Arabidopsis thaliana: one gene and its partners. The protein of the gene in region 2 interacts with the protein of the main gene of each other region in a biochemical or structural test. Each region holds a gene or a part of one and is shown on either strand. Other genes may lie near its edges. The genes, in order: AHP1, RR5, AHP5 and AHP2.

Region 1 (7,750 bases), about 10 Mb from region 2:
TAGAAACAACTGAGGTAACCGATCTTAGGCAGAGACCGAGGCTTTCTTGGTCTCCTCTTCAGCACCTACCTCCTCAGCAATTGGCGCGTACCCGATTCCACTTCGTTTGCTCGGAAACAAAGCAAAGATAGTGGCTGAGGCAACACCCACGGCAGGAGGCAAAGCCATGACAAGTGTCTTCTGTGTTTCCCTGAACCGAGGATAAAAGCAGCTCGCGGTATTAGCGTCAAGCAGCACCAGTGTACCAAACACAGCCAGCACGAAACCCGCATGAACGAAATCCGCTATCCTAAGCTTGTACTTGGATAAATCCACGGATCCTGGCTCCGCGTAAGTCCAAAGACCTTTCTTGGTGACTATACCGAACTTTCTTGATCCGTCAACGCCTTTGAAACTATCGGTAAAGCATGAGAAGACGCAGGAAAAGCTGCAAAGGGCGACAAGAATGCTCGACATGACCTTATTACCTGTGGAGCATTCACCGTCGTTAGTGAGGACAGGGTTAAGTAGAAGGTAGATAAAGAGTGTTCCCGTTGGGAGAAGCTTTATAAGACTCTCTAGGCCTGTGAGGGATTTGTTTGTGTTTGCCATGTTTTCTGATGAAGCTGGAGAGTTTGTTTTGGGTATGAGCAAAGAAGTTTCGGACATGAGCTTGAACCTTAGAGTTAGATGTATAAACTATAAAGTATGTTCTTGGCTTGATACGTGTGTCGGTATTTATAAAACAATTTTGAGATGATAAATCATTGATCCGGTCCGAGATGTTGGATTTAACACCGTAGAAGAATTGGTAATAACATTGACTAAGTCAAACTATTTTAAATTTTGTCTATATGTCTACACACGAAGACTCAATAATTTCTAAAACGGTTGATTATAATTTCTTCGATAAGTTATTGAGTTTTGGAACTAAATGCGAAGAAATTTCTAAGGCGTCGAATAAAGCACACGTTTGGTGATGAATCTTGACTGAATCTAAAGAGAAGTTTCTCTTATGGATCCGTAAAAATTTTAAGACTATACAACGACTTTGAATGTCTTTTGAATGTGTTGTTTTTGTGTTTATATGTTAAAATGCGGTTAGTTTTCTTTTATCAAACATAATTTGTAAACGTGATAACACAAAATTGATAGAGAATATGGACTTGTGTTTTAAAATCTACGTTTACATGCATTTGTATTTTACATGATCTAAAAGTGTGTTTATCGTATGTGAAACCATTACGTCAACATGGATTGTTTTTACGGTATTGTGTTACAAATGTAAATACACCATTTTAATATCTAAACTCACTTTTTTCTTCTTTTTGTTTGCGGTTGAACCAACCAAGCCCATACACGAGATAAAATTGACAACTAATTTATTTTACTTGTGTAAATTGAACTTAACCTGAAATTGGCAGTGAACCAACAAATCGACTAACTCGTTCTGCATGTTTACCTTTTATTTGTTTTTAGTAAATAATATCGTATTTGGCTGCGTCTACAGCGACTTGTATTCTAGCTTTAAACCTTTTTAAAAACTTGATATGGCTATTGGCTATAAGGATTTTCTTATAATAAATTGCTTGGAGATATGGGTGAGTGCAAACTCTTTCTTGACTTTTTACGTATAAATTTGTTAAAAACTAAGGAAGCACAGTTTAACTTTTATACGGAGATAATATAATGTAAGATATCAAAATTCATAATAAGATTTGAAAGGTCCATAATTAGTGATGGAACCTTCTTACGATGGACCCATTATCAAGTAAGAACCACTAATAATCTTTGGTTAGTTAGTATATATAATACGTTTTATGCCATTCGTTAAACGCATCCTACGTTCTTGCATGTCCCATGTCCATTCATCATGTGAGACGTGTCAAAGCGTTGATGTTTACCCAAATTTGCAGAAATTAATACAGTGAAACTAATTTACTATTTTTATTTTGGCTTGACGTGTTGAAATTGTTATTGAAAATACGAATTGTCTAAGGAAAAAATTGTCATTTTACTGTGCATGAGGAAATAGATAAGAATGGTGTGTATGAGTATGATTGGGAAAGTATTTGGAGTGACGAAAATACCAGGGATATGCAAATGAAGAAATAGTGTGGTTGAAAAAGATGAGACTGGTGTGCTGATCGTTGTAGTTGAAAATGTTACGTAAAAATATATTGTATGTAGTACTCTATGAAAGATTGAAAGGATATGAGCTATTGCATATATATTGTTAGGTTGTTTTGAAATATTGTTAGTTGAAAGAAATTTATAGAGCAAGTGACAAACGAGTAAATAGAAAAGCTTTGAGAAATCACGAAAAAACATTTGAATTGTGATAAGTGGTTGATTATAATGAAAAATATTGGTATAACACAAAATATGATAAATCCTAGTTTAATAAGAATTCCACCAAATGATTGGACGAGATATATGACTAAAGAAATTATAAGCTGCATTTAGTTTTGGTTTTGAACAACATTACAAAGTGTTAGGCGGCATTTGAGTTCTCAAAGTCACAATTTCCTTGATAAACCCATTACGTTACGATATTTGTGATACATCAATATAAAATAAACTAACCAATCAATGTATTATTATAATAAAAGAATTGCTAGTTGGACAAAAACAATGAGGATCAAATCAAAATTATATTACAAATAAAGTTTCCCTAGAGATGCTATTTGAAAGATACATTGAATGCGAGCTGTGCATATTAGTATATGCTTTTCATCAGTAGTACAGTAATTTAAATATTCGAACCAATAAAATGTTTTAAAATCTTAAGAAAAAAAAAGACAAATCAAGAAGTATCAAATGCTCTTCTTATGTCTTTATCACATTTGCAAAAAAAACGAGGAAAAAAAGGCGCGAATGGTTAGACAGTTGACAGCACGACCAACTTCCATTCTTTAAGAGTTTCTTTCTTTTTGGATTCTTTTCTCACATCCAAACCAAAATTGTAATAATAAAATACAAACTATTTAAATTTAAAAAATAGGGTTTTTTGATACGGAGGATTTTGTTCTCATCTTTTAAGTACTGAGGATTTTGTTGGACATTTTCTTACCTCCATTATTGGCAGAGAGAAACAAAGAAATAAAGAACAAAAGCAAATAACAGAGAATATGGATTTGGTTCAGAAGCAGAAGAGTTTGCAAGATTACACCAAATCACTCTTCTTAGAAGTAAGTTTTTCACATTTGAAAAGATCAAATAATCAGAAAACTTGTTTTAACGTTCACAACTTTTTCTTTCTGGTTTTAGGACTTGTAGTAAAAATGGTTTTAGGACTTATAGTAAAAATGTGTTAGGCTTTTGTAGTTTCTTTGGTAAGATAATCATGAGTTTAGGTTATGTAAAATTAGTTTCTGATTATGGAAAGTCTTTTGTTTTGGGTAAATACAAAAAAGGGGATTTTGGACAGCCAGTTCTTGCAGCTGCAACAACTACAAGATGAAAGCAATCCAGATTTTGTTTCACAAGTTGTCACACTCTTCTTCCAAGACTCTGATAGGATTCTCAATGATCTCTCACTTTCCCTGTAATCTTCTTTACACATTCTCTCTTTAATCTTTTTTTTTTTGTTCTTTTCCAAAACTTGTGTTTCTCACTGTTTTTTTATGCTTCGGGCAGAGATCAACAAGTTGTAGACTTTAAAAAAGTTGATCCCCATGTTCATCAACTCAAAGGTAGCAGCTCCAGGTAACAACAAAAACAAAACTGGCTATTTCTGATTTTAATCCAATGATAATGACATTTTCTTGATCTTGAAATGTGTAACAATATATATTGCCAAAAAATAACAGTATAGGAGCACAGAGAGTTAAGAATGCTTGTGTTGTCTTCCGCAGCTTCTGCGAGCAGCAAAATGTCGAAGCGTGAGTTTAATCGATATGTTCGTTGGTCCATTCGTTATTTCTTTGTTTTAAGATCTGATTAGGAAAATACATCGTTGAAAAATTTCAGATGTCATAGATGTTTGCAACAAGTGAAGCAAGAGTATTATCTTGTGAAAAACAGATTAGAGACTCTGTTCAAGGTAAAAAGTCAAAGAGACTTTTTTTTTTTTTATAAAACCACCCACATAACTCTTATCTAGTTATACAATATTTTGATCAACATTTGAAACTTATCTGATTCAATTTTGGTTTTGATGATCGAATCTATGCAGCTGGAGCAACAGATTGTAGCTTCTGGTGGAATGATCCCGGCCGTCGAACTCGGATTTTGAGTGAATTTCATAAACATCTCTGTCCATTGTTGTTTCATTTTGGACTCTCTCTTCTTCCTCTCTTTATGTGACTATCAAAAAAAGGTTCTTATGTGAACTTCTTTCTTTGTGCCATTGGAAGAGTGAGACATGCTAAAACGTTTCTTAATCCACATCTAAATCCCACATATGTAAAATAAGATCTCAAGCAAACATATAGTCATGAGTCATGACTACAATTATATAGAGTTTGATCAAGATAATGTACGCATCAAGGTAATGTGATCCGGACAACTTGGTTAGGTATTAGGTTGTTGTTTTACTGTAACTGTTAGAAGTAGTTAGAAGTCTTGTAGTCCTTGACCAAAGAACACAGATGGGCCATATGAATTTTAGTAGCCCAAGATGATAACAAAGGGCCCGTACTAAACATCCATGATGATCTTGGAAATCTTTTTTTTATTACGATTGCACTTCGACGAATCTCTAAAGATTTTCAGACATTTATACAATGCAATTAAGAAAAAAATAAAGTTATACTATGTGAGTGCACGTTAAATAATGTAGCTAAAAATAAAATAATGACAAAATTCTTAATTACTTACAGATCCGTGACCTGTCGTCGACTATATATGGCTCCAATTTATAACCTCATGTTCGATTTCTAGACTTCTAGTTTACCACTTATAACTTTGTATTGCTCTATACTCGTATTAATTAGTGCTCCATCTTTTTTATTTGAACTTTTTTGGGTAAAGAATGAGCGTTCCCTTCATCGTTTGTTCATAACTTTACTAGTTCCTTTAATTGTACCTTCTGTTTAATTTTGTTTTCAAGTGACCTTTTTGTCTTTTCAATAATAATTAAGATTTCCAGTTCGTAATTTCGTATGTATAATGAACCATACCATTAATTATGCAATATGACAAAAATATGATGTTTATATGTTCTTCCACCTTGTTATTATCGATTACAAATTTAAATAAGGATCATAGGGTAAATAACACTTTTTTTTTTTTGGTTATAATCAATATCTTATTCCTATTTTATTGTTTCAAACATGCATAGTATCCAAAGGGAAGCATGTTTTGGTGAAAATATATGCATAGAAGAAGAAGACTAATCAGTAATCAAGACAAGAGATAGGTTGAATAATTCCATTAAGTTTTCTCCTATCTGTAGTCTAAATCACTAGTTACAACTTTCAACACACATGAAACACATTATACATGCATCATTATTCATTAATGTGTTAGGTTACGCTACGTATATTTTGTGTAGATTTGAAAGTACAGATATGTAATGTAATTATCATACAAACATCTCTTAATTAAAGTCTCCCACAAAGCCACAATATGGTGTAAGTGATTCCCGTTGGATTAGTACATTAGTCAATACACTACTTTTTTGACGGCTACTGATTTAAGTTTCTATTTGAACTATCCCCAATAATATAAATATCACGTCGATGTGATTGAGACGAGCAATAGAGCCGTGCTTAACTACTTTTATAGTGAAAATTAAATAAGGCTTATGTATCCAAATACTTGTGGTCAACTTTTGTGGTCTGAATTATTTATCATTTTTCTGTCACTTAAATTAAATCATATACCTTGAATTATACCAACATCTAACTTGGGAATAAGAGGTGTGTATCTTGCGGACAAATGAATTTAGACCGTTGTTAAAGAGCGTAAACTTTAATAAGACGTTAACATGTGTGTGAACAGAAAGCTATTCTCTAAAATTTTGATATTAAATTTGTACAAAATACATTTCTACGTGGATTTAAGGTGTTAAAAGAGTTCGATTAGTAAGCTTTACATTTTATTGATACTACCACTATATATACGTTGGAATGTCATATCAAACACAGATTAACAAATTCTCTCAAATGGCTCTCTCCGTATTTGCCTTTCCTTCTTACATAAATAGGAATCCTTCACTAAAATATCTTAAACCTTCTTCTATGTCTTCTACAAAATATGTAAGAGTTTTTTTCTTTTTTCCCTCTTTTACTTATTGATTACTATATGAAGTTGCATTATTATCAAAGTTCTGCAGATTATCCGTGAGAAACTATATACGTACACTAGTTCTTGTTAAGTTTGTGAAAGTTATTGAATTAATTGAAAATAACATAACATCTTTTTTTGGTTCAGTCAAAAGTAAGAGCAACAACATTTTCAGAGAAAGGTGAATATTATTCAAACAGACCACCAACTCCTTTATTGGACACAATCAACCATCCAATGCACATGAAAAATCTCTCCATCAAAGTATAAATCCTAATCCAAGTCTTGAACCTTGTTTTGTGTCAAATCAAGGATGTGATGATGAAAAAGTGTTCTGCTATGTAGGAACTCAAAGTTCTTTCGGACGAGTTGAGATCTGATGTTATTTTTAATGTTTCGAAAACTGGAGGACACTTGGGTTCGAATCTTGGTGTTGTTGAGCTCACCGTGGCCCTTCATTACATCTTCAATACTCCTCATGATAAGATCCTTTGGGATGTTGGTCATCAGGTTGGTTATCTCATTGCAAGCATAAGTTTTCCTTTAGCTACATGTACAAGTGTTTTTAACTTGTTTTGTTTTTGTCTTTTTGACAAGTCTTATCCTCACAAGATTCTAACGGGAAGAAGAGGAAAGATGAAGACAATAAGGCAGACCAATGGCCTCTCCGGCTACACCAAGCGAAGAGAGAGTGAGCATGACTCTTTTGGCACCGGGCACAGTTCGACCACACTATCTGCAGGCTTAGGTCATACTTGTTATTTTCTTGTGTCACAAGAAAACAAGAAAAATCACTTTCCTAACATGCATGCGGAAATTGTGAATCAGGGATGGCTGTAGGGAGGGATTTGAAGGGGATGAACAACAGCGTGGTTTCGGTTATAGGCGATGGTGCTATGACAGCTGGACAAGCTTATGAAGCAATGAACAATGCTGGCTACTTACACTCCAACATGATTGTGATTCTCAACGACAACAAACAAGTATCTTTGCCTACTGCTAACTTGGATGGACCAACTCAACCTGTTGGAGCTCTGAGCTGTGCTCTTAGTAGGCTGCAATCTAATTGTGGAATGATTAGAGAGACTAGTTCAACACTGTTTGAAGAACTTGGTTTTCACTATGTTGGTCCAGTTGATGGACACAACATAGATGATCTGGTCTCCATTCTTGAAACATTAAAGAGCACCAAAACCATAGGACCGGTTCTTATCCATGTCGTGACTGAGAAAGGTCGTGGATATCCTTACGCAGAGAGAGCTGATGACAAGTATCATGGTAAAATTAATTTTCATATCTTCTTGACTATACTAAGCACTCTTGGATTGATCCATATTTCTCATTCTTGTCAGGAGTTTTAAAATTTGATCCAGAAACAGGTAAACAGTTCAAAAATATTTCCAAGACTCAGTCTTACACTTCCTGTTTTGTGGAGGCCTTGATTGCAGAAGCAGAGGCAGACAAAGATATTGTTGCCATTCATGCAGCCATGGGAGGTGGAACCATGTTGAATCTCTTCGAAAGCCGCTTTCCTACAAGG
Region 2 (8,430 bases):
TTGAGCGTAGACTCTATTGAGTTTTCTCCATCCAAATGATTAAACAACTTCTTTCCCATCGACTGTACCAGTTCCTCATAGCTATGATGATCTCTGATACTTCGAAATGGAATTAGAGACCATTCTTGTTCATCGCTGGCTTGAGAAGTGTAAAACAGCATTTGAAGAATGGCGTCCGAGTTGTTCACTGCAACCAATCTCTTCTCTGTAGAGAAAACAAAAGTACCGGCGGGTCTATAAGGACTTAGCTCAAGGAAACTAGAAAGGGTCTCTAAAAACGCCTCTGCGCTTCCAGTCAATTCACAAACAGCTTGGTTTGCAACAGTTGATGTGTCTCGCATCACCCTTGTGTAAAACTCTGTTATTCTCTGTTCACTCTCTTGGACGGAAGACTTTCTGGGATCCAATTGGGCAAGAACATGAGGCAAAGTTTCCTCTACAGACGCCTTTCGAGCAAGCATAATCCGAGGGACAATATCGAATCTTGAGACAAAGTTCACAAAGAACCGGCTCCATTTTTCTCTCCCAAGTGCGTGACTGAAGATAGAGTCACCAACCAAAGGAGCTCCAAATGTCACACAACGAGGCTCAAGGTAAACATTTGGATTGCGTATGAAGTATTTCTCCAAATACCAAACTGTTGCTAAGATTGCAGTTGCACCTCCTGAGGAATGTCCTGTGAACACTATCTGTTTTCTACTCCTCACAGCCATTTCCACCTGAAGAAGTAAAAGCATAAGAGACCAAAAAAGAAAAAAAAAGAAAAATATATTCGGATGTTTTCAATCTTCTTACAGAAGCTTGAAATGAGGTTCTTGGATCAATGATAGCTTCAAGATTCTTGAGGAAAGCTTCGTTAACAGTAGCTACATCACCTTTACCGATTTTCCTCATACAAGGAAACTGAACACGGTTCAACTTGATTTCTCCAAAGGAAGATTTATTGTCCGGATCGAAGAAATCTTTCTCTGAGAAAGATGGTTGGAAAGCGAAGATTACGACTGCTCCTGCTTCTTCCTTGTGATAGCGCTCGGTTAGGTAAGCTTGCTTCGAGGCTGACCATGATCTGGTGATTAGATCACCATTGATTCCGGTAAGAGCTTCAAACGCCATTGATCTATATCTATTCTCTTTTCTTTAGTGGACTTTCTTCTCTCTTTTTTCTTTTGAATCGTCTTGCTTCTTTAATCCGCTCCTACTCTGTTAATTTATGGGAAGATGTAGACAGGACTAATTAGTTACCCAAAATACCCCATCATGAGACCATTTCAATGCAAAAATGGGTTTTTTTTTTTGGAGTTGACTCTTTGGCTATTGGAGACTCATGAAGAAAGAAAAGCTAGGAATCTTAGCTTTCCACGTGTCGGTTTTACATTGGTGTATGGCTTTGTACATCCGACATGACTGGAGTTTCGCAGAAACTTTCATAAACATTCACATTTGGTCGGAAAGTTTTCTCTGTGTAATCTTTGCTTGGAAATTTTGTAGCTTGACTTTGGAGTCTTCGTCTCTTTAATATAGACTCCATCTTTTGGTTTGAGATGTCACTCTCGGTTGGGATTTCGCAGTAACTCAATGATATTCACTTTTTTGTCGGAAAACAATTTTGTTGTTTAATGAATGAGGAGATTTGTTCGCTTGGAGTTAAGTTTTTGTAGCTTGACTTGGGTTTTCAGATTTGGTCTCGTATAGAAGAAATCTACTACTTTAACTCTGTTTTGCTTATAAATCTTATCCGGAAAGTAAACCGGATAATCTACAAGATATGGAACCGGTTCGATTTCTCTCAGCTGAATATTAACCGAATTAACTAACTACACCTTCTTGCCTGGTCCGTTTTTGCGTTCGGCAAGACGCGTCACATTCGACTTTTACTTGTTTGATTATGAAGTTACATGAACCGGACTAGAAAAATTTAGTTTGTTTTTTTGGCTAAACCAAATTGCATAACCATATTTTGCTTTCAGATAGAATGAAAAAGCCTAGGAGACTAAATTAACAAAAGAAACAAAAAAAAGTCTAGGAGACTAGAATTTTCTTGGTCTTAATAAAACCCAACTTGGGGAAATTTCTACGAAAAGCCATGTAAAGTGTTCCAACCAACGCTTAAAATAACTAACTTATCTCGCTGGATTCGATTCATGTAGACAGCTTTATTTTAATTAGACAAAAGATTAGCTTGTCTTCGTGTAATGAACGGTACTAAACTACTAATCCATTCCTAAATCATTATTTAAGTAATCTTAACAAAAGAAATTCATATGTTAACTTCCAAAATAACACACCACCATTTTACATATCTCTCATGTAAAGAAAAAAAAAATGTATCTCTTCTCCTCTCTAATGAATCCAAGTCTACAATTTACATTTCTATCTTATAAAAACCCATCTTTGTCACTCTTGATCAGTCTTGGTTCTATCAGCAAAAGAAGCCGTAATGTCTCAAAAATTGTAAGCCGAAAGAATCAGGACATGCATGTGTGTGAATCTTTGAGCTTTTAAAGAACATATCGTACGTGGAATCTGATAAACTCAGATCTTTGCGCGTTTTAGCTGCGAGTAGATATCATTAGCTTCAAGCTCTCTCTTGTGCATAATATTCTTAAAAGCTCTTTCCTCAGCTTTCATTAAAGAATCTCTTAATCTCTTCACATCAGCTAATTTCACAGGCTTCAATAAGAAATCTTCAGCTCCTTCTTCAAGACATCTGAATAAATATAAGGAACCAAATGTTAGTGATCTAATTCCATAAAGTTTATAACTTTGGATACAGAAAATGGCCAGCTCATATATGATAATCATTAAACTTAATCTGGTAAAGAGGGTTTGGTTCCTTAGTAATAAGCAAAGGCATGTGAGGTGTCTATCACGAGGATTGGGATTTTATAAATGACCCTACCTAAGATTATGCAACCCAAACAATTAAAACATATATTATAAAGTTTTGGAGGGCCTAACATGTCACCGGCTTATATAGAATCAAATCTCAAGAGAAGATCTTGCTTAACTTATGATGGATTATTCTTTTCTAAATTTATGGCCACAAGATAAATTTTATTATTCCTAAGATCCATTTTAAAAATCATTTTAGGACCCACTAAAATAAACACCAAATCTCAGCTTGATCAAATATACAACCACCACCAAAGTTAACCCCATGATAGTTAAAAAGTAATCATATAATAACCTTTTCTATCATAACAAAATCTTGTGATTATACAACAATTTAATTTAGTCAATACATATCCTTTAACGGTAACTTTATCACAAATCCTAAATTAGTGTGATTACTTTAAAAAGTTTCCTAAACAAACAATACCCTCTAAATCTAATCATCCCCATCTCCTGAAGTAATAAATGCACAAAATCTACTATATTTGGTAAATTTTGGTCCTACATAATCTTGACCTAAACAAGAATTAAGGATCATAGTTAAGATTATTATAGTAGAATATACCTATCGATACGAGGCAAGATGTTCTCTGAAGACATAATCACAACTGGTATTTCTCTGAAAGCTGATGATTCCTGTTAAAAAGTTCAAAATCCATAAACAAGATTAGATCAAAACTTCATTTTTTTTTAAATTTTTTTTCGTCAAATCAGAACTTCATTTTAATTTTGTGAAAACAATTGAATCATCAACAAAACTTACTTTGATCTTCTTCAGTAGTTCATATCCAGTCATCCCAGGCATAGAGTAATCCGTCATTATCAAATTAATCTTCAGATCCTAAAATATAATTTCAAACCAAAAATCTTTTAACACCAAATTTGAATGGATTCTCACTCTCAAAAATATTAAACACAATGATCAGATTTATTACCTCAAATCCAACCGAACTATTATTCTCTCCATCTAATCCAAGATATTGTAAAGCTCTTGTCGCACTATCGACAACAGTAACTGAGACAGAACAAAACTAATGTCAGATTCTTGTACTTAAACAGATTACACAAGATAAACAAACACAACACTTTTTTTTGATAAACACAAACACAACAGTTACCTTTACAAGATGAGACTCTGAGTAACCGCTCGATGAACTTCCGATCAACCATACTATCATCAACAGCAAGAACATGAAGAAGTTTCGGTGATGCTAATGAAGAAGTGTCGTTAGAGATATCTAACATCTCGGGACGCAAAACCTCAGCCATATCAAGAAGAGTAGGATCGTGACTCGTGAGAGAGATAGAGAGAATCAACTATGAGGATTTGATTTTGCTGAGAGATGAGAGGAGAATAAATGGATTTATAAAGGAAGAAAGAAGGAGAGGGAAAAGAGAAAAATATGATATGGGGAGAGGATTCTGAGAGATCTTTGCATATCTGTGGGATTTTGTCTGTCTGATAGCGCGTGGCTAATTATTTGTTTATTCTGTTTTCTTCTCAAAAGTCATATTTTCAAATTTTGGCTAAACTTCAAATAAAAATAAAATCAAAGTCATAAAGTTTTTTAATATTTTTTTTGTTGAGAATAGTCAAGTAATGGTGAGTGGTGAAATCATATGATATGTTTGATTTGGGAAGGGAAATAAAATCAATTTTGGATGAGGGAAATCGTATCATGACGATCTCTCTCGATTATTGTTGTCAAGATCATGGCTACTTTGATTCATTTCTTTTTATTTTTGTACATTTTCGATACTTTCTTGATTTTCCCATTTTTCAAGAAATGTACCACAGAGAGAAGATTTGTATTTCAATCTACAAAATCTTTGAGATTGTTAATTAATTAATGAACATTGTTGGAAAAGTTAGCTGACATGTGACCGCCAGATTGACTATTTGGGCGAATGAATTTCAATGTTGATATCTCTAGTTGCGCAATCAGATAAATTCAAGATCCGTATGTGTATATTTCTAGAAACAAAACAAAAAATCATTATTTTTCAAGTTATTGTTGTTTGTCCATCTCGTAACTGTACCATAATAGTTGCCTCTACTATCGATCGTGGTCGAATGGCATAAGATTGATGAGTTAATAGTAAGTTTTCATGAGTGTTCAAAAAAAAAAAAAAAAATAGTAAGTTTTCATGAAAATAAAATTTCAATTCACTTTTCTTGAAAAATATTCATATGTTTACTTGAATTTTAATTCGCTTTTTCTATAAATTTGGCGTTCTTTTATTCACATATTTAGCAACACGCATCGAGTATTTCCACACGTGAGAGATCTTTTGACAATTGATGGAAGGCTTTGTCACGACAGGATCGAAGATCTATGGACTAAACTCGACCAATATATTTCAAGAATGGTAATGACTAAATCATCATTGAAAGCTGAAAATATGACTATGATCGATGTATCTCTAGAGGAGATATCAAATGAATGTGAGGTACTAGGTGTATAGAGCACATGACCTTACTATATATGTCAAATTTGGTTTGGCTTGCAGAGAAACGGCTCGGATTTCTCCATGATGGTTGTTTATCAGTATGTATATGCGTGTCCCTTCAGAGTAAGTCTACACGTTTTCTCTACTTGTATATTTGGAAACAACATGAGTTTACCGATGAAATTATTGTTTTAATATATATGAGTGTTTTGGCTATGTACATGAGTCCGAGCTTAGTGTCTATCATAGTCAAAGATCACAAGATACATTTATAGAACTTACTATTGTTTGATCAAAGAAATTAAGTTAACAATTCATAAATAAACCTCTTAACAGTTTATGGCAAAAAAAAGAAATGCCAGTAAAATTTGTTAGGCACCAAAACATTCTATAAAGAATAATCCTAATGGTCTCGGTTTTTACCTCTCAAATAGTATGAGAGGCTGAAGACAAATATGCTTTATTGGTTTCCTTACAAAAACCAACGAACTTTCGTGTTAACTGTCTATGTGATATGAATTGGTACATGCATGTTGTTGTATTAGGTTCTTTTGGGACATCTGATAAAATTGGGAAGATGTTAGCATGGTCTAAATAAAAATGTTCTTGTATTATACTTAAAAAAAAAAATCTTTTCTTTGTGTGTGTCTCAATTTCACTATATGACAAAGGAAAATGTTATAAAATGAGAATCAATAAGCTAATATATGATTATTCAAAATTATATTCGGGGTCCAAATTTTGATTTCTCTACGTACGTAATCTTTTGATATAGAAATTTTAAGTTATGGATTACAAATACTCGATTTATTTTATGAATTCTCCTATTCTATAAATAATCGTGAGTAACTGAATTACTTATATTCAATTGTTATTCATCATTCATTGATTATATATCTGAAATTATTTAATAATTATCTATAAATGTACAAGATTATTACAGCTTACAATTTTGTTTTTGTTGCTTAGTGAATTTACATTTTAGACTTTTTTTTTTGTCAAATACATTTTAGACTAAATGGTGTTTTCTTTTGAAAAAATCATATAGTTTAGGTCGAACCGCGAACTCGAGAGAGAGAAAAGAAAAAAGGAAGAAAGGATAACACAAAACCTCTCTCTATCTCTCTCGTCTTCCAAAAATCGAGCACTACACATTGACTCTCTTCTACAAAGAGTCTGGTCACACTCATGGCCATCCTCCATTTCTCTCTTCCTCTTATCGTCTCTTTCCTTCGTCCTCACGCCTCTCCTCGCTTCTTCCTCCTCCCTCGCTCTCTTTCTCAGTCCCCTTTCCTCTCCCGCCGCCGTTTTCACCGTACCTCCGCCGTTTCCTCCGCCGCTGTTCATCACCAATCCTATCGTAATCCCGACGATGATGTTACCCGCGCGGTGTCTGTTCCTACATTCCAACAAGCGATTCAACGCCTCCAGGTTCGTTCGATTCTCACTCATCTCCAATTCTCTACTTTCAAAAGTTCGACGAATTCAAATTGAATTACTCTCTTTTGTTTTGAAATTGAAGGAATATTGGGCTTCCGTTGGATGTGCCGTTATGCAACCAAGTAACACTGAGGTCGGAGCTGGCACCATGAATCCTTGTACCTTTTTGAGGGTTCTTGGTCCTGAACCATGGAATGTTGCTTATGTTGAGCCAAGCATACGTCCTGACGACTCTCGCTATGGAGAGAATCCCAATAGGCTTCAAAGACACACTCAATTTCAAGTCATATTGAAACCTGACCCTGGAAACTCTCAACAGCTCTTTATCAACAGTCTTTCTGCTCTAGGTACTGATTCTTTCTGCCTTCTCTTTTGTTTCCACTTACATGTCTTTTAACAGAATAGGTTCCTTTCCTTGTAGATGCACAATTGATTGAATTTTTCACCCTGTGCTGGTTCTGGTTTGTGGTTTTATAGTGTTAATTTTGATTTGCTTAAGGTTTGATTATGTGAAGGTCGTCTTTATGTTTCATTAGGAAGTTTTCTCATCCAGATAATCCTTCCCTTACTATTTTTATGTGTTAGGTATTGATGTGACTGCACACGATATACGGTTTGTAGAAGACAACTGGGAGAGCCCGGTAATGTGTGAACCCATGTTTTATGCGTTTTCCATCTCTTTTAGTTTCTCATTATACTCTCAGCGTGCAAGTGTCTGATCATGTGAATGACTGCACACGATATACGGTTTCTTACAGGTGCTTGGTGCTTGGGGGTTGGGCTGGGAGATTTGGATGGATGGTATGGAAATCACACAATTTACTTACTTCCAGCAGGTAATTTTCATTTTATGTAAACATTTCTAGAAATTAACTATAGACTACGGTTTGCATTTTGGTTTCTTAGGGTAGATTTTATCTTTTGTTCTGTAGTATATTTTCTGCGTCGGTTGTTAGAAAACAATATAATTGTGAAGTTTGCTTCTTTCTAGGCTGGAAGTCTTCCGTTGTCTCCAGTATCTGTTGAAATAACTTATGGGCTTGAGCGCATCATCATGTTACTTCAGGTCAGTCTTATACTCCCTTATTGTTGATGTACACATTTTTCCGTTATAGGTCCGTTATGTTTGGGTTAAGTTAGCCTTTCGTTTTAACCTACAGGAAGTTGACCATTTCAAAAAGATCTTATATGCTGATGGAATCACCTATGGGGAGCTTTTCTTGGAAAATGAGTAAAAGCCTGATATACTTTTATGGATTTTTAATCAAACATTATCGAACTTATTCTGTGTTTTGAGACTGATAGTTGGGTGGATATTACAGGAAGGAAATGAGCTCATATTATTTAGAGCATGCTAGTGTGGATCGCCTTCAAAAGCATTTCGATTATTTTGATGAAGAAGCACGTTCCTTGCTTGCCTTAGGACTTCCAATCCCTGCGTATGTTTATCACAATGCTCACGATCGTCAATTTTCTTGTCCATATTTAACCACTGCCTCTTGAATTTAACAAATTGCTGCTTGGGGGCATGCTAGGTATGACCAGCTTCTGAAGACATCTCACGCTTTTAACATTTTAGACGCTAGAGGTTTCATTGGCGTAACTGAACGTGCTCGTTATTTCGGTCGAATGCGTAGGTAAGATCTG
Region 3 (7,409 bases), on a different chromosome or scaffold from region 2:
AAACCTGCGAATCCCTTCTTTCATCCTCTCCATCACCTCCACCGAGATCCCATGATTCACCACCTGGAAGAATCCCCATCTCTCCGCAGCGTCTCCAATCTTCTCCACCACGCTCCGCCGCGATATCAAATCCATGCTTCCTCCTTTCAGATCCACCGTGGGGATCGTCAGCTGCTGCGAAGGTGGTGCTGTTTGTTTCAGGCTTGTTAGAGTATCCGGAGGTGTATGGAACATGGCTGGAATCTCTTTGATTCCCGAAGCCACAAGCCCTTTCACGCCGGTTTTTGTCTCGTCGAAAGCTTTTGCTTGACTTGAACGATCACTTGACTCCATCTTGCTTCTTCTTTCTTTTTTTTGCAATGCACAGATTTGCATAAGTGCTATTATTCCACATCTTAATGCACATCTTAATACAATTAAATAACAAAAGGAATCGTGACCCATATTAAGATAACAAATAAAGAAATGAATCGCCAAAAACAAGGTCCATTAGTTTATTTCAATTCCTATATTAAAATTTGGATTCTTAATTGGTCGTTTGTCTTTACAAGTAAGAATAGCATCCGGTTTGAACTTTTGTTAATTAACTACACACTTACCATATTAAATCTCATCGCCATTGTTGCTCGCCTAGCTCTCGAAACGCCACTAATTAGCAAAACAACATTTAAAGATATCTCGTTTGGAGGACTTTGGACAATCGTTCCGCTACTGTTCATTTTCTCTCTCTTTGAAGTTTTTTCCAGTTTTTACAGATCTAGTTTTTTCTGCCTCTGTTCTTCATCTTAGGTTATGAATTTGCAAGACAAAGCAGGAGTAAGGCAAGCTATCTTCTCCGGCATTGGAGTGGTGTGGTTTTTCCGGTAAGCGTGGCAGCGGTGGCCCTTTCTCGGTGGATGAGAGGCTTCTCTTCCGTTTCTTCCTGGTTATGGACGTCGGTGGAGATCGGTGAAGTCTTTCTTGGTTCAACCACTTGGTTAGACGCTGTAGCTGTGGCGGAAGACGCTGTGGATTGGTGGGTTTTCAGTGCGTGTTTGATGGTTAACAAACTGGATCTGAGATGGCTGTTGCGGGTTCCGGTTGCTGAAGGGTTGTCTGAGCCATCACCCTTCTTTAGCCTCCGTTTTTTGTCTCCATCAATCCGGATTGAAGGTTGCTTTGCTTTTGGAAAATTTTCAGATCTAAGGTTTTGGAGGTCAGAGGCTTGGAAATGCGTGGTCGTTTTGCGAGGTTGGGGACTCGACCAAATTGGGTGGCGGAGTGTCGGAAACTGGGTTTTTTCCGTTAGGTTTGTTGCAGGTCCGGCCAGCTCATTGGTAAGAGATTTGCGGCAGGACTCGTATACTTCGGCCAATGATCTCGTTCCGGTGGTTGTGTTGCAAAGTAGTGGGCCTTGTATACGACGGTACTAATAGATCTATTTGCTGCCTCCGTTCCACTGCCCAAATCCACCTCTGGTTCTCTTTTTCCGGTGACCGGATTTTTCCTGTTTTGTAACTGTGGACGATTGTAATTCCGGGCCTAAGCCCAATTGGGACTGGACCTTTTTTTTTAAAAAAAAAAAAAAAAGATATCTCGTTTGTGGAGAACGCATGCTAGCAACTTCCCTATCTATAAAATCAGATTTGCACCCCACAAACTAAAATATTATTTACGTACTTGATTAATTCCTACAATATAGTCATTTACAAAAATAACCCTCCATTTGATATTTAAGTCAAAATCAGTCAACGGAACGTGGAATAAATTATAACTTTCGACGCTCCGATCAGATTCATCATCATCTCTCTCTGTGTCGCTCCGATTTTGAATTTGGAATCTCTTAGTTAAGTTGGAAGTTTGTTCTTTGGTCTTTTCGCCTAGTTGTTGTTGGATCTGTTTTAAATTAAGCCAAAAACCTCCGATTAGATCGATCTCGGAACCGTCGAAATACAGTTCACCGTATCCGTTGTTTGTTTTTGGTATATGTATGTTTGAGAAGCTCTTACCATCTTTGTTTACAAGTCTGGTTCTTGGTAAACTTTAGCTATGAACACCATCGTCGTTGCTCAGTTGCAGAGACAATTTCAAGACTACATCGTTTCTCTTTATCAACAGGTTCGTTCCTAACCAAACTTTTCTTACTTTGGCTGGATTCTCACTTTTGGGCTTAGATAAGCTTAAGGTGCAGTTATGTGTGAATTTGAATTTTTTTATTTTTTTTATAAAGATGATATAATATGTTGTTGTTTTGAAGGGATTTCTGGATAATCAGTTCTCAGAGTTGAGAAAGTTGCAAGATGAAGGAACCCCTGATTTTGTAGCTGAAGTTGTCTCTCTATTCTTCGACGACTGTTCCAAGCTTATTAATACCATGTCTATATCCCTGTAAGCTTTGCTTACTCTCTTAGGCTTCTCTTTTTTATCTAACATGGGACTTTGTCTCTAATCCTCCTTCATATTCATTTTTGAGGGTGTAAATTAGCTTCATATATTCATGACAGCATTTTATGAGTTTATTATAAACATTAGGGAGCGGCCAGATAATGTGGATTTCAAACAGGTGGATTCAGGTGTTCATCAACTCAAGGGTAGTAGCTCCAGGTTTGTCACAGTGAACACTGCTAAATTTGCTTTTCTAGTTTTAAGTGACCAAACTACATTGATTTTAATGGCTCAGTCTCTGCTTTGTACTCAGTGTCGGTGCAAGGAGGGTGAAAAATGTGTGCATATCTTTCAAGGAATGTTGCGATGTTCAGAACCGTGAAGGGTGAGTATATTTTTTAGCTTGTTGATGCAAAATGTTATTGGATCTCTAAACTTTTTTATTATATGAGAAGCTATTCTTCTAATTCACACACAAATTGTGATAATGATATCTGGCACAGGTGTCTAAGGTGTTTACAGCAGGTGGATTATGAATATAAGATGTTAAAGACTAAACTTCAGGATCTCTTTAATGTGAGTTTTAAACTTTGCGAAAACCTACTTGTTCTGCTTGTGTATTCTTTTTACTGAGCCTTTTGCTACTTCTCATTCTTCTGTTTCTGTTATGTTATGTTGTTGCAGTTAGAGAAACAGATCCTCCAAGCTGGAGGTACAATTCCTCAAGTGGATATAAATTAGACCGATGCGTTTCTCGATTATGCAAATGTTCAAGGCTGATGACACAAATGAAACCGAAACTCCTCTGTAGTTTTGTTGTTGTTGTTATGTTTTATATTGATTAATGAGGTTCAGCAACACTGTCCCTGGCCAGATATCGTGTCTTGTTTAGACTCTTAATTGAGTTCTAAGAGTAAAAATTGAATTATTAGTCTATAAATAGACATGTCCATATGTATTCCTGTCACAATGCAACCACCATTTGGAGCCTTTGTTCTGACCATCATGACTTAGAATTCTCAGCATTATTCTGAATCTGATATACTCTATTGGATTCATGATTTTGATTTGAGCCGTAAAGCATGCGGGTACTAGTTAGCACTTTAGACGATTTCATTATGTGTGGATTAATCAAGAATGATTTGTTTGAATTATGGATAACACGATTCCATGGTCTCTTTATTTTGTTAACGGTATTCCATGGTCTCTTTTATCAACATTATTGTTATAGGGCTTATAAGACATGATTGTGACAATAGATTGAGAAAGGATTGGGCATGTCTTGTTAGGTATGTATTTAATATAATGTCCGAATTACCTCAAACTAGGAATGAAATAAAAAGAAAATGTCGAAGAATTATCAATAGATTGTTTATAAGTGGAATAAAAAATGTGAAGCCATGTGTCTATGGTAATCACTAGGTGGAGCATTTTTTTTTTTTTAAAGGAAGAGTATGTGAAGTGAAAGAGACTAATGAAACATAAATTGAAGGCATGGAGGCGTGTAATGTAACAAATAATAACAAAGCTTTTCTCCTCTATCCTTCATTTTATCATATCCATCTTCATCATTTTTATTTCTCTCAACCAATGTTTTTAAAATAATTTTGTAATATCCTTATAACATGGTTGGTTTTAGGGTTCTTCATGAAACCGATTCAAAAGTCAAAGCAAATCTTATATCGGTTACTATGTGATCTTACCTTCTATGGAGAGAGGATTCGACGACACACCAAACAAACACAAGAGTCCCAAAACGAGTGCGTTAATTGTCTCGTAGTGCGGACCATCTTAGGGTTTAGACCTTTTTAATTTTGTTCATTATGATTGGAACGTATTGCTTTGGCTTTCTTGCAAAGCCAAGTTTTCTTTTCATAAATCTAATTTGGTCTACTCATCACTACCTAGTCTCTCTTAGAATGAATACTAAATCATTTTTATTATGCATGGTTGGTATATGTGAATCAGTAGCGAATCATTATTTGAAACGTATTTAGATGTACGCTATGAGTTAATTATTTTCAGAAAACGGTAGTTACACTTATGAAACTAATTAATGCACATCAAAAGTAGAGACAATCTGCTAATATACGTACACAAGGCAAAAGATTGTACAGTAGAGGTATATATCGAGCTATTTTGTTGCTTGCGTATGTAGTGAAACAAATGTTAAAATTGGGTAAGCGTTATAAATGTTGACCTGACCATCTTATGCATGTGTTGTTGCTAAAACTTGTGGTCCAAGCTCCTATTCCTTTTTTTAACATACAAACAACAAGTTTTGTGAAAAACCAAATGAGTAAAAACTAGAGAAATATAACATGTCACTGTTTTTACCATATTTACTCTTTTTTTTTCCTTTTGCTTTTAAACTTAAAGTCAATCTCTTATGCGTTGTCCAACTTTTTTACCAATTATCTTTCTTTACGCCCACGGAATTGAAGGACCATTTGCCAGCTACCTTTGTAAAATTTAGACAGTTGGAACAACCTTACAAATCTTTTTTTTTCTCTTTCACCTATCTAACTGTCATAGCTAGCTTTTACATCTTTCTCATATTCATTTTATTCATTCGTAAAATATTAAAACTTTCTTTCATATATAAATATAGATTAATACAGTTATATATTTTTTGGTCAATGAAGTAAGTTAGTAATTAGTATAATGGCTAAATGTAAACGAGTGAAAACAATTGACAAAAACATTTGTTGATTTATGCAAGAGTCGGTATACGAAACATTTCTTCGATAGATGTGTTAATCTATAACTTCATCAAAGAAGCCCTATGGCGAATCAAACATTTAGTACTAACTAGGGACTATAACATTTAACTAATCAAAAGTAGTTGTGAAATAAACTTTTGGTCGCAAGATTTGTTGGAAGTGGATATAGTACAGTAAAGCTTAGTTAGATATAGACTAGGACACACTTCAAAGTTGATATTGACTAAAACTTTCATCAGTTACATTGACCATTACTTAACCATCTATCATAAGCTAAACTTCCTACGATATGCGTTATGATTTGTGTTAAATATCAGGAAAATTCTTTATTTTATTTTTTCATCAACTTCAATCAGGAAAATGAAATTGTAACGCTGATTTTGTGTTTTAAAATCGAGCAAAATATATCTGGAAAAAATAATAAAGTACAATTATAAAACAAAGGTAGTAGCTAGTACAATAGAGTAATTATCGAACCAGAAAGCTGACGTGTCACGGAAATCTCGCTCGTCCAAGCTGTCACTCAAAACAGTAAAACTGAAACGCACACAAAACTCACGTGACGAGAAGACACACTTTTTATCGTCTCTCTCACCGAACCTAATCTGTTTCTTTACGAACCTAAGGCTCGGACAGCCGTTTTACCATATTACCTGTTCCCCATAAAAACCACAGCTAAAAGAAAAGAAGGCACCTTTTTTCATGTTTTTACTGACACAATCCAAATGTATAACCTTTCTTAATTTAGCATTCTAATTAGTGTTTTTGTCCGACACATTAAATTTTCATATCATCGTCTTCCACCACAAGCCACCAAAAGAAACAAACAAAAAGAGCGGAACAAAGAGGAAAATGAAAGTATAGAGAATTTACCAAGTATCTTTGTATGTATGTTAAACTGTATATTAGATTAACTTACCATGTAGATTGTAGAGAATATGTATTCTTCTTATTAATTATGATGTGAGTACAAAGAGAAAGATAATCTAGAGTTTAGATTACAAACTTGATTGAGAAGTAACTTAACATATATACTTATCTTCGTATATTCTTCTCTGTACAAAGACTGACACTATTAGACAAAATAAAATATAAAAAAAGGAAACAAAAAATAGAGGAAGAAGAAAGAAGAAACAGACGACGACGTTGATTCATTTCTTGGGTTTTTGGCTTCCTTCTCAAGCCATTTTGTTTACTCTCTTTCTCTTCTCTCGATAAACCTTTCTTTTCTTCCTTTTGCTAATCGTTTATTGATAATCCTCCATTAAAGCTCTCACGGAAGCTCCCACGAGAACACCTTCTTTCCACCACATAAACCAGAGACTTTCCCTCTCACGAGAAATCAGAAAACAAAACCCATTTTCTCTACTTTACAGCTCGTCTCTGTTCTTCCCTCTGTGTATATATATAGTCTCTGTTTCTTGAACCTGTAACGGCTAAGTCTGAAGAAGAAGAAGAAGAAGATGATGATGAGATTTACCAAGTTGGTTTGGTGTTTGATGTTCCTGCTTCGATTCGGCTTCTTCACGGAGGCGATTCTCGACCCAGTTGATTTCTTGGCTCTGCAAGCTATTCGTAAATCCCTCGATGACTTGCCAGGTTCCAAGTTCTTCGAGTCTTGGGATTTCACTTCTGATCCATGCGGCTTCGCTGGCGTCTACTGCAACGGAGATAAAGTAATCTCTCTCAATCTCGGCGATCCTAGAGCCGGTTCACCCGGTTTATCGGGTCGGATCGACCCAGCAATAGGCAAACTCTCTGCACTCACTGAGCTCTCCATTGTCCCCGGCAGAATCATGGGTGCGTTACCGGCAACAATCTCTCAGCTAAAAGACCTTCGTTTTCTCGCAATCAGCCGGAATTTCATCTCCGGCGAGATTCCGGCGAGTCTCGGCGAGGTTCGTGGTCTCAGAACACTGGATTTAAGCTATAATCAATTAACCGGAACTATCTCTCCGTCAATCGGATCGTTACCGGAGCTCTCCAATTTGATTCTCTGCCACAACCACTTAACCGGATCAATACCACCGTTTCTCTCACAAACTCTAACCCGAATCGATCTCAAACGCAACAGCCTCACCGGCTCAATCTCACCGGCGTCTCTCCCTCCGTCGCTTCAATACCTCTCACTCGCTTGGAACCAGTTAACCGGATCGGTATACCATGTTTTACTCCGGTTGAACCAGCTTAACTACCTTGATCTCAGCTTAAACCGGTTCACCGGTACAATCCCCGCTCGAGTCTTCGCCTTCCCGATCACAAATCTTCAGTTACAACGCAATTTCTTCTTCGGTTTAATTCAGCCGGCGAATCAAGTGACGA
Region 4 (7,097 bases), 6.5 Mb from region 2:
TGTCTTTAAGACTTGTTATATTTCTTACAATATGTTTGTTATGTTCTCTGGTGTGTGTTTTGTTTTTTTTGGTATTACTTTCATATTTTTTTGGTCGAAGAGGACTTGTATTCGACAATGTCGCTTCAATTTTGTTGTTTCCTTAGAAACTAAATAAATATTGGTTTATATTGGAGTAAAATGTGTTTGTACTTTGTAGTTAATCGTTGAAAGTTTTGCCACTTATTGAGCTTTGTCTGCGAGAGTTGACTCGGAAGAATATTTGCACATTGTTCATAGAGAATCACATGATATCTCTTCTCTGGTGGATTAGGAACCAAACGCATCTTGTAAAAGTTTCCAGGTTGGAGATTCTGATTTCTGAGTGACACCTAACGATTCCATATTTAAAGCTTTATGTTTTTGTATGTCTCTCATTGCGATTGGTATTTTTTGTTTAAGTAAATATGCATAAATCCATTCGTAGAGGCATTCCTTACAGTACTAGTGACCACATATTAACCTTTTAGGTACGCACACCGAAGTTGGCTACATAACTTGGGTGAGTATTCCAATCTGTAATGTGAATAGTTTACCATATCACATATAGCTCTGATACCATAAAAAACTATATGTGAATAATATTAAAAATCTTATACACAAAATTTTCTTTTAAATGGTTAGTCTAATTGTAATTTAAAAATATCGAAATAATAAGTTGCAATTTTTTTTTTTTTTTTTTGGGTCTTTGAAAAGAAAATATAATGTCAAATACTTTAATTTTTCCAAGTAAATCGAAACATAAGATTGATATTTTTCTTTTATATAAGAAAATTAAATTAGATTTAATATTATTAAATGAGTGTTTCATATTATATTTTTCAGAAAAAGAGTTTTTATTAATTAACCAAATACCAATAATTTACTTAAAAACTTGTATTGAATCCAAATGTTTCCCAAAAAAAAAATATTTAATTGGGATTGACAAAAATAGCACCAACAAAATTTTTTCTTCCAAAAATAACAACTTTTTGAAAAATTTCACAAGTAGCTTTCAAAATTTTAATTAAATATTAAATATAAATAATTAATTTTATTTAAATAAATAAAAATAAAAATTTTCCGCTAAAAATTTTTCGTCAAATTTTCTGCCAAAACAATTCGGTAATAAATTTTCCCGCAAAAAAAATTTTCCGTCAAATTTTTCTTGTAAAAAAACTTGAGGAAGCTAACTACGACATTCGTGAGGATTTCACGGAATTCAGGAAAGATTTTACAAAAAAAATTTTCGTAAAATTCTTCCTGAATTTCGAAAAAGAAAAATTCGGGAATTCAGGAAAAATTCTACAAAATTCAGGAAGGGTTACAAAAGAAAAAAATTATAAATTTCGTGAAACCTTTCCTGAATTGCTTAAAATCTTTCCTATATTTTGTAAAAAAAATTCTGAATTTTTTTTTGTAGGTAAAATGTGGGCGGCGTAATTATTTTTGGTGGAAAAATTTTGACGGAAATTATTTTGTAGAAAAATATTGTTGAAAATTTTTGGTATGAATTTTTGTATTTTTTTAAATGTTAGTTGTAATAATTAAAAATTAAATAATTATTTGAGTGTTATTTATGTTCACAAAACTTTTGAATGGTATTTTTATCAAAAAAAACTTTAAAATTATGTTAATTATGAAAATTCTCTATTTAATTTTTTTCACCCAAATAAATAAATACATAAAAATGTCCAAATATTTGTGTGTTTCTCTTTTAATTATTGTTTCCCATTTAAAGTAAAAAAATCTGGTAGCAGCGTTACAATTCGCGAGAAAGACAAAACACAAGTTTCTTCTTCTTGGGATTGGCTATTTCCAGAAATCCAAGTCAATAATCAAAGTCCAAACAAAAAAATCCTCTCCCAATCTCCGCTTCACTCTTCTCATGGACGCTCTCATTGCTCAGCTTCAGAGACAATTTCGTGATTACACCATTTCTCTCTACCAACAGGTTTCAATTCCACAATTCTTCAAACCCAATTTCATCTCTTTGCTTAGCTAATTTAGCTCATATACACACTAGATTGACTCCTATATGCATAGATTCATGACAAAAGTGAAGAAAGATTGAATCTTTATGTAGATTTTTACAAGTTATGATTTTTAGGGATTTGAGTTGTGTAAAGGTTGGAACTTTAGATTCATGGGTTTGTGTTTTTTTTATGTGAAGGGGTTTTTGGATGATCAATTTACTGAGTTGAAAAAGCTACAAGATGATGGAAGTCCTGATTTTGTGTCTGAAGTGCTTTCACTTTTCTTTGAAGATTGTGTGAAGCTTATCAGTAACATGGCTAGAGCTTTGTAAGTTTTTGATATTCTCTCAGCTAGATCATCATTGCTTGTGTTGTCTTAAAGTGTGATTGTGGCTACTTCTATTTCAGGGACACGACAGGAACTGTAGATTTTAGTCAGGTAGGTGCTAGTGTGCATCAATTGAAGGGTAGTAGCTCAAGGTATGTATCATGTCTCGCTTTATATAAGTAGCAGAAGTTGTGTGTTGTTGATTGATGAAAAGCTTTGTGTTGTTTCTATGTAGTGTTGGTGCCAAGAGGGTCAAAACTTTGTGTGTTAGCTTCAAGGAATGTTGTGAAGCTAAGAACTACGAAGGGTAAGCGAGTTATGGTTTTCTCTTGGGACTCATTGGTTGAGTAATAATAGTCTCATGTTATGTTACAGGTGTGTGAGATGTTTGCAGCAAGTGGATATTGAGTACAAGGCGTTAAAGACAAAGCTTCAAGATATGTTCAATGTGAGTGTGAATAGAATCCATCTCTGTTTTTGGCTCTGCTTTTAATGAATCATTTTGGTTATGAGTAATGAACAAATCATTGACATTGTTGTTGTTGTTGTTGTTTCAGCTTGAGAAACAGATCATTCAAGCTGGTGGTATAGTTCCTCAAGTGGATATTAACTAAAGAGACTAGTCCATAAGAAGAAAAAAGATGATGACTTTCTTTCTTTAGTTTCTCTTCTAAATTATTTTGGATTTGGTGTTTGCTCAAAAACTCAATAAAATATGTGCAAAAAGAAACAAAAACAAGTGATGGTTGTTTATAAATCAGTAGTATGTATTGTTTGATCTCATCCGAGAAAATTGAAACCATTGGACTAATGAATGTGATGATAATATATATTGGTTTGCTTCTGAAAGGTTTGGTTTGAGTAAGATATAGTGATTACTAAGTAAGTCTTGACTAGTGGGTGCTTCTAAAAATTGTGTGTTTAGATCTTTTAGTTTCCCAAATTTGCCCATAATGTTTTCGTAATTATCTGAATTATTTGTCTCGAAGTTGACCTTTACTCAAATTAGTAAAAGTTTGGTAGTGACTTTCCAAATTTTTACAACCTGTCTCCTTATCAGAATATGAATATCGTAAACCCTAAAACCTAAATCTAAACCATTACCCATTCGATATCCGAAATGGACATTCTAAGAAAATATGGTAATTCTTTCAGGATAAATCACAAACCGCTTTCGACGAGATTACGGAGCATGTAGTTAATAAACGGGGAAAATGTCATTTAAATCATCACTTTACCATTTTCGTTGGTTTAAATCATGAACTTTGGATCTGGTGAATTAAATCTTTAATTTTATGTTGACTTTCAAATTAATCACAAATTCTTGTTGACTAAGCAAATTGAGACACAAATTCTTTTTTTCGATGTCGTCAATCGACCTTAAGACGAAATATTACTTTGAATTCGAAAAAGAAGAGAAATTCCAAAGAAGATGAGAGATTCTGAAGAAAAAGAGAGAAAAAATCAAAAATTTTGATTAGAAAGATTTCTAACGATGTGCCTTAATTGGCTTAGTCAACGAATTCGTGATTATATTGAACGTCAACATAAAATTGAGGATTTAAATCACTAGATCGAGATTTTATGCTTCAAAACCAACGGAAATGGTAAAGTGATGATTTAAATGACATTTATCCCGTTAATAAACCAATGAAACCAATAATTGTGGGTTGATATATCTTGAACTATTAATTTGGAGAGATTTGTATATAGAAATTTTATTTTAGGGAGAAAACTAGGTATAGAACTTTAGTTTTAGAGATATATAAAATTATAGATCGGAGTCATACTTTGAACTCTGGTAATAGTTTGGAAATAGACCCTTTTTTTTCCGAAATGGACATTTAAGAAAATGTGATAATCATTTTGGGATACATCACAAACCGGTTTTAGACCAACGTAGATTACCGATATAAAAGATACCAATAAAAAAATTAGAGATTAGGGAGCACGTAGTTAGTTGTAGACGCGAGTGTAGGAGATAACTATCTCTTTGCAAAATAGCCTTCATAGCTTCCGCAACAAGTAACTTTTTTCATCAGTCTCTACGAGTTAAAAGCTGAGCGAGAGCTAGACTCTCTGCAGATCAAGCTCAGCGATTCAGGCCCTGATACCTAAATTCAAGTTAGTGTTTTGCTCTGGTAAGCTGATCAAAGCTCTCATCTTTCTACATTCTTTTGATTCTTCCCCTATTTTCTCGAAAAAAGCTCACGATTTTTTACAATTTCAGTGTTTTCTTCTCACTCTCCTGTGTTTGATTCTTGTGGGTTTAACGTATTTGATGCTGAAACAGGTTCAATCAGATGAAAGTTTTCATCTTGGTGGCAAAATCCATAACCTTCATGTATGTGGTTACCAGAGGATTGATTCTGGTGTTTACTCGGTTTGCTAAGGATTTGGGGGTCTTTGTTCGGTTTCAGTGTCACTAAAAGAAACTTCTTTTATGACTGAGACTATTGTGGAGCATGAGATGGAAGAAGAAGCTGCAATGAGCTTGGTTTTGTTTTCAGAAAAAGTATGGCTTTGAATTGTCTCCTCATGATGATGATTCCATGGATTTAGATGGTGTTGAGTTGTTACTAGACTTGAGGGAAATGGTTTCTCAATCGGGTTTCGAAAAGTCTACTACTTGCAGTGGTGTTATTGCTCTGAGAAGTAATCTGCAGAGTAAATCAAGTCACAAATGCAAAATATGTGGCAAGAGTTTTGAGTGTTATCAAGCTCTAGGTGGTCACCAAAGAATTCACAGACCGATTAAAGAGAAACTAGTGCGTAAAAGGGAGTATACTAAATTTGATAATTCATTGTTTGAGTCCTTAGATGCTATTTCAAAACCATCAAAATTTGAAGTCTCCCAAGAGGAGAAGATGTTAGATTGTGTTTGAGTCGAAACAAGAGTTCAGTGAAGTATATCCTCGGAAGAGTAAGTTGCAGAAAAGACCTGAGAGTAGTAGCTCCTGCTATGAATGCAAAGTATGTGGCAAGATTTTTGGGTGTTATCGAGGTCTAGGTGGCCACACGAAACTTCACAGATCGACTAAGAGGGAATTAGCGAGTACTCAAGATGAGAATTCACTGTTAGACTCATCAGAAGCTAAGAAGATTGTTTCACAACCATCAAGCTTTAAAGTCTCTCAGGAGGAGAAGTTCTTACATTGTGTGGAGTTAAAACAAGACTTCAGTGAACCGCTTTCTCATTCGGGTGCATTACCATCTACTCTGAGAAGTAAATTGCAGACAAAAACTCAGTGGAAATCAAGCTGTCATTGCAAAATATGTGGCAAGAGTTTTGTGTGTTCTCAAGGTTTAGGTAATCACAAAAGAGTTCACAGAGAGATTAGCGGGAAATTAGCGTGTAAAAGGAAGTACACTGAAGACTATAATCCATTCTCTGACTCATTAAAAGCTAAGAAGATTGTTAAAAAACCATCAAGCTTTGAAGTCTCTCAGGAGGAGAAGATCTTACATTGTGTTGAGTTAAAACAAGACTTCGGTGAACTGCTTGCTCACTCGGGTTTCGACAAGTCTATTAGTTGCAGCAAATCGATCAAAGTGAAAAAAGTAGCGCGTAAAAATGAGAAAACTGAAGATAGTACTTCACTGTTTGGCGTGATTGACTCAGAAGCTAGCAAGTTTGCTTCACTACCATCAAGCATTGAAATCTATCATGAGAAGACCTTCCATTGTGTTGAGTCAAAACAAGACTTCAGTGAACTGTTTTCTCGCTAGTCTACTAGTTGAATCTTTTTCTCTTCTAAGTACAGAAGTTGCAGATGTATACTTAACATTTTCCTCTTGCTTGGTTCAAATACAGTTTCTTTGGTTAACTCATGTTTTCAGATACAGAACCAATCCAAAGTTCAAAATTGATTACTTAAACCAATTAATTGGTTTAGCGATTAGGGAGCACCAAGTTTATGATACGCGTGAGTGTAGGATATAACTATCCTCTGTCTTCTTTCTTTTGCATAATAGACTCATTAGCTTCCACAACAAGTAAATTTCTCCATTGTTGTCTGTCAATAGCTTAGATCGAAAGCGATACTACAAACTCTGCGATAAGTAAAAAAAAAGTGTTCTTTAAGGTCTTCAGCTCTTCGGATTAGGTCAAAACGTGTTCTTTCTCTTCCTGAGTCATAAAATCAAGTGAAGATTTTGTTCTGGTAAGCTAATCAAGCTCTCTGCTTTGCGATTATTCTTTCGTTTTCTTCCACATTTTCCCGAGAAAATAAACTGGAAAAAGCTTTAGACTTTTTCAAGTTTCTAGCGAAACATGATCACTCTCTTCTTAGAAATGTCTGATTTTGTGTGTTTCTTCGCGATCTTTGTCTTCTTCTCTGTTTTCTCGAGAAAATCAAACGGAAAAGCTATGAGCTTTGTTTCAATTTTCAGGTTTTTGTCGGCGAAATGTCTCAGAGACTTCATGGTTGCAAAACATGCGGGAGAAAGTTTGGAACTTTAAAAGGTGTGTATGGTCACCAGAGGATGCATTCTGGTAATCACAATAGAATCGAAGATGAGAATGGTTTGGAAAGGATTTGGGGTCTTAAGAAGAAGTCTAGGGTTTGCTCTGTTTCAGCTTTTGATCGATTCAAAGGATCTTCTTTTATGGCTGAGATTGAGAAACATGAGGTGATTGAAGCTGCATTGAACTTGGTTATGTTGTGTCAAGGAGTTTATGACTTTGCTTCTATCAGTAATTTGCCTCTAGGTGATGGTTTCATGGATTTAGAGCTTAAACCTTGTCCTTTGAGAAGGAAACTACAGAAAAAATC

The links.
Region 1: the proteins of RR5 (region 2) and AHP1 form a complex in vitro, tested with the Arabidopsis thaliana proteins (one study listed by BioGRID).
Region 3: the proteins of RR5 (region 2) and AHP5 form a complex in vitro, tested with the Arabidopsis thaliana proteins (one study listed by BioGRID).
Region 4: the proteins of RR5 (region 2) and AHP2 form a complex in vitro, tested with the Arabidopsis thaliana proteins (one study listed by BioGRID).

What each region holds. Positions count from the first base shown.
Region 1 is NC_003074.8:7,574,898-7,582,647, reverse strand, and holds AHP1 (histidine-containing phosphotransmitter 1), read left to right. Parts: upstream 1-2,858; 5' UTR 2,859-3,110; coding exon 3,111-3,170; intron 3,171-3,395; coding exon 3,396-3,526; intron 3,527-3,618; coding exon 3,619-3,687; intron 3,688-3,791; coding exon 3,792-3,863; intron 3,864-3,951; coding exon 3,952-4,024; intron 4,025-4,156; coding exon 4,157-4,216; 3' UTR 4,217-4,936; downstream 4,937-7,750. Other genes in the region: DMP1 (transmembrane protein, putative (DUF679 domain membrane protein 1)), read right to left, coding at 25-648; DXPS1 (1-deoxy-D-xylulose 5-phosphate synthase 1), read left to right, coding at 6,054-6,182, 6,358-6,474, 6,556-6,720, 6,808-6,958, 7,039-7,488, 7,563-7,750. UniProt on the Arabidopsis thaliana protein: Functions as a two-component phosphorelay mediators between cytokinin sensor histidine kinases and response regulator (B-type ARRs). Plays an important role in propagating cytokinin signal transduction through the multistep His-to-Asp phosphorelay.
Region 2 is NC_003074.8:17,756,580-17,765,009, forward strand, and holds RR5 (response regulator 5), read right to left. Parts: upstream 4,372-8,430; 5' UTR 4,162-4,371; coding exon 4,011-4,161; intron 3,908-4,010; coding exon 3,828-3,907; intron 3,734-3,827; coding exon 3,656-3,733; intron 3,529-3,655; coding exon 3,458-3,528; intron 2,708-3,457; coding exon 2,533-2,707; 3' UTR 1,848-2,532; downstream 1-1,847. Other genes in the region: EDS1 (alpha/beta-Hydrolases superfamily protein), read right to left, coding at 1-719, 796-1,113; EDD1 (glycine-tRNA ligase), read left to right, coding at 6,532-6,774, 6,866-7,130, 7,369-7,424, 7,542-7,619, 7,775-7,849, 7,944-8,014, 8,106-8,222, 8,319-8,420. UniProt on the Arabidopsis thaliana protein: Functions as a response regulator involved in His-to-Asp phosphorelay signal transduction system. Phosphorylation of the Asp residue in the receiver domain activates the ability of the protein to promote the transcription of target genes.
Region 3 is NC_003070.9:846,131-853,539, forward strand, and holds AHP5 (histidine-containing phosphotransfer factor 5), read left to right. Parts: upstream 1-1,662; 5' UTR 1,663-2,028; coding exon 2,029-2,097; intron 2,098-2,236; coding exon 2,237-2,367; intron 2,368-2,511; coding exon 2,512-2,583; intron 2,584-2,677; coding exon 2,678-2,749; intron 2,750-2,867; coding exon 2,868-2,940; coding exon of another isoform or gene 2,941-2,997; exon of another isoform or gene 2,998-3,048; coding exon 3,049-3,105; 3' UTR 3,106-3,491; downstream 3,492-7,409. Other genes in the region: 2A6 (2-oxoglutarate (2OG) and Fe(II)-dependent oxygenase superfamily protein), read right to left, coding at 1-444; AT1G03440 (Leucine-rich repeat (LRR) family protein), read left to right, coding at 6,551-7,409. UniProt on the Arabidopsis thaliana protein: Functions as a two-component phosphorelay mediator between cytokinin sensor histidine kinases and response regulators (B-type ARRs). Plays an important role in propagating cytokinin signal transduction through the multistep His-to-Asp phosphorelay.
Region 4 is NC_003074.8:11,260,218-11,267,314, reverse strand, and holds AHP2 (histidine-containing phosphotransmitter 2), read left to right. Parts: upstream 1-1,752; 5' UTR 1,753-1,906; coding exon 1,907-1,972; intron 1,973-2,191; coding exon 2,192-2,322; intron 2,323-2,402; coding exon 2,403-2,474; intron 2,475-2,557; coding exon 2,558-2,629; coding exon of another isoform or gene 2,630-2,633; exon of another isoform or gene 2,634-2,684; intron 2,685-2,697; coding exon 2,698-2,770; intron 2,771-2,879; coding exon 2,880-2,936; 3' UTR 2,937-3,189; downstream 3,190-7,097. Other genes in the region: AT3G29340 (zinc finger (C2H2 type) family protein), read left to right, coding at 4,875-5,090, 5,209-5,931, 6,715-7,097. UniProt on the Arabidopsis thaliana protein: Functions as a two-component phosphorelay mediators between cytokinin sensor histidine kinases and response regulator (B-type ARRs). Plays an important role in propagating cytokinin signal transduction through the multistep His-to-Asp phosphorelay.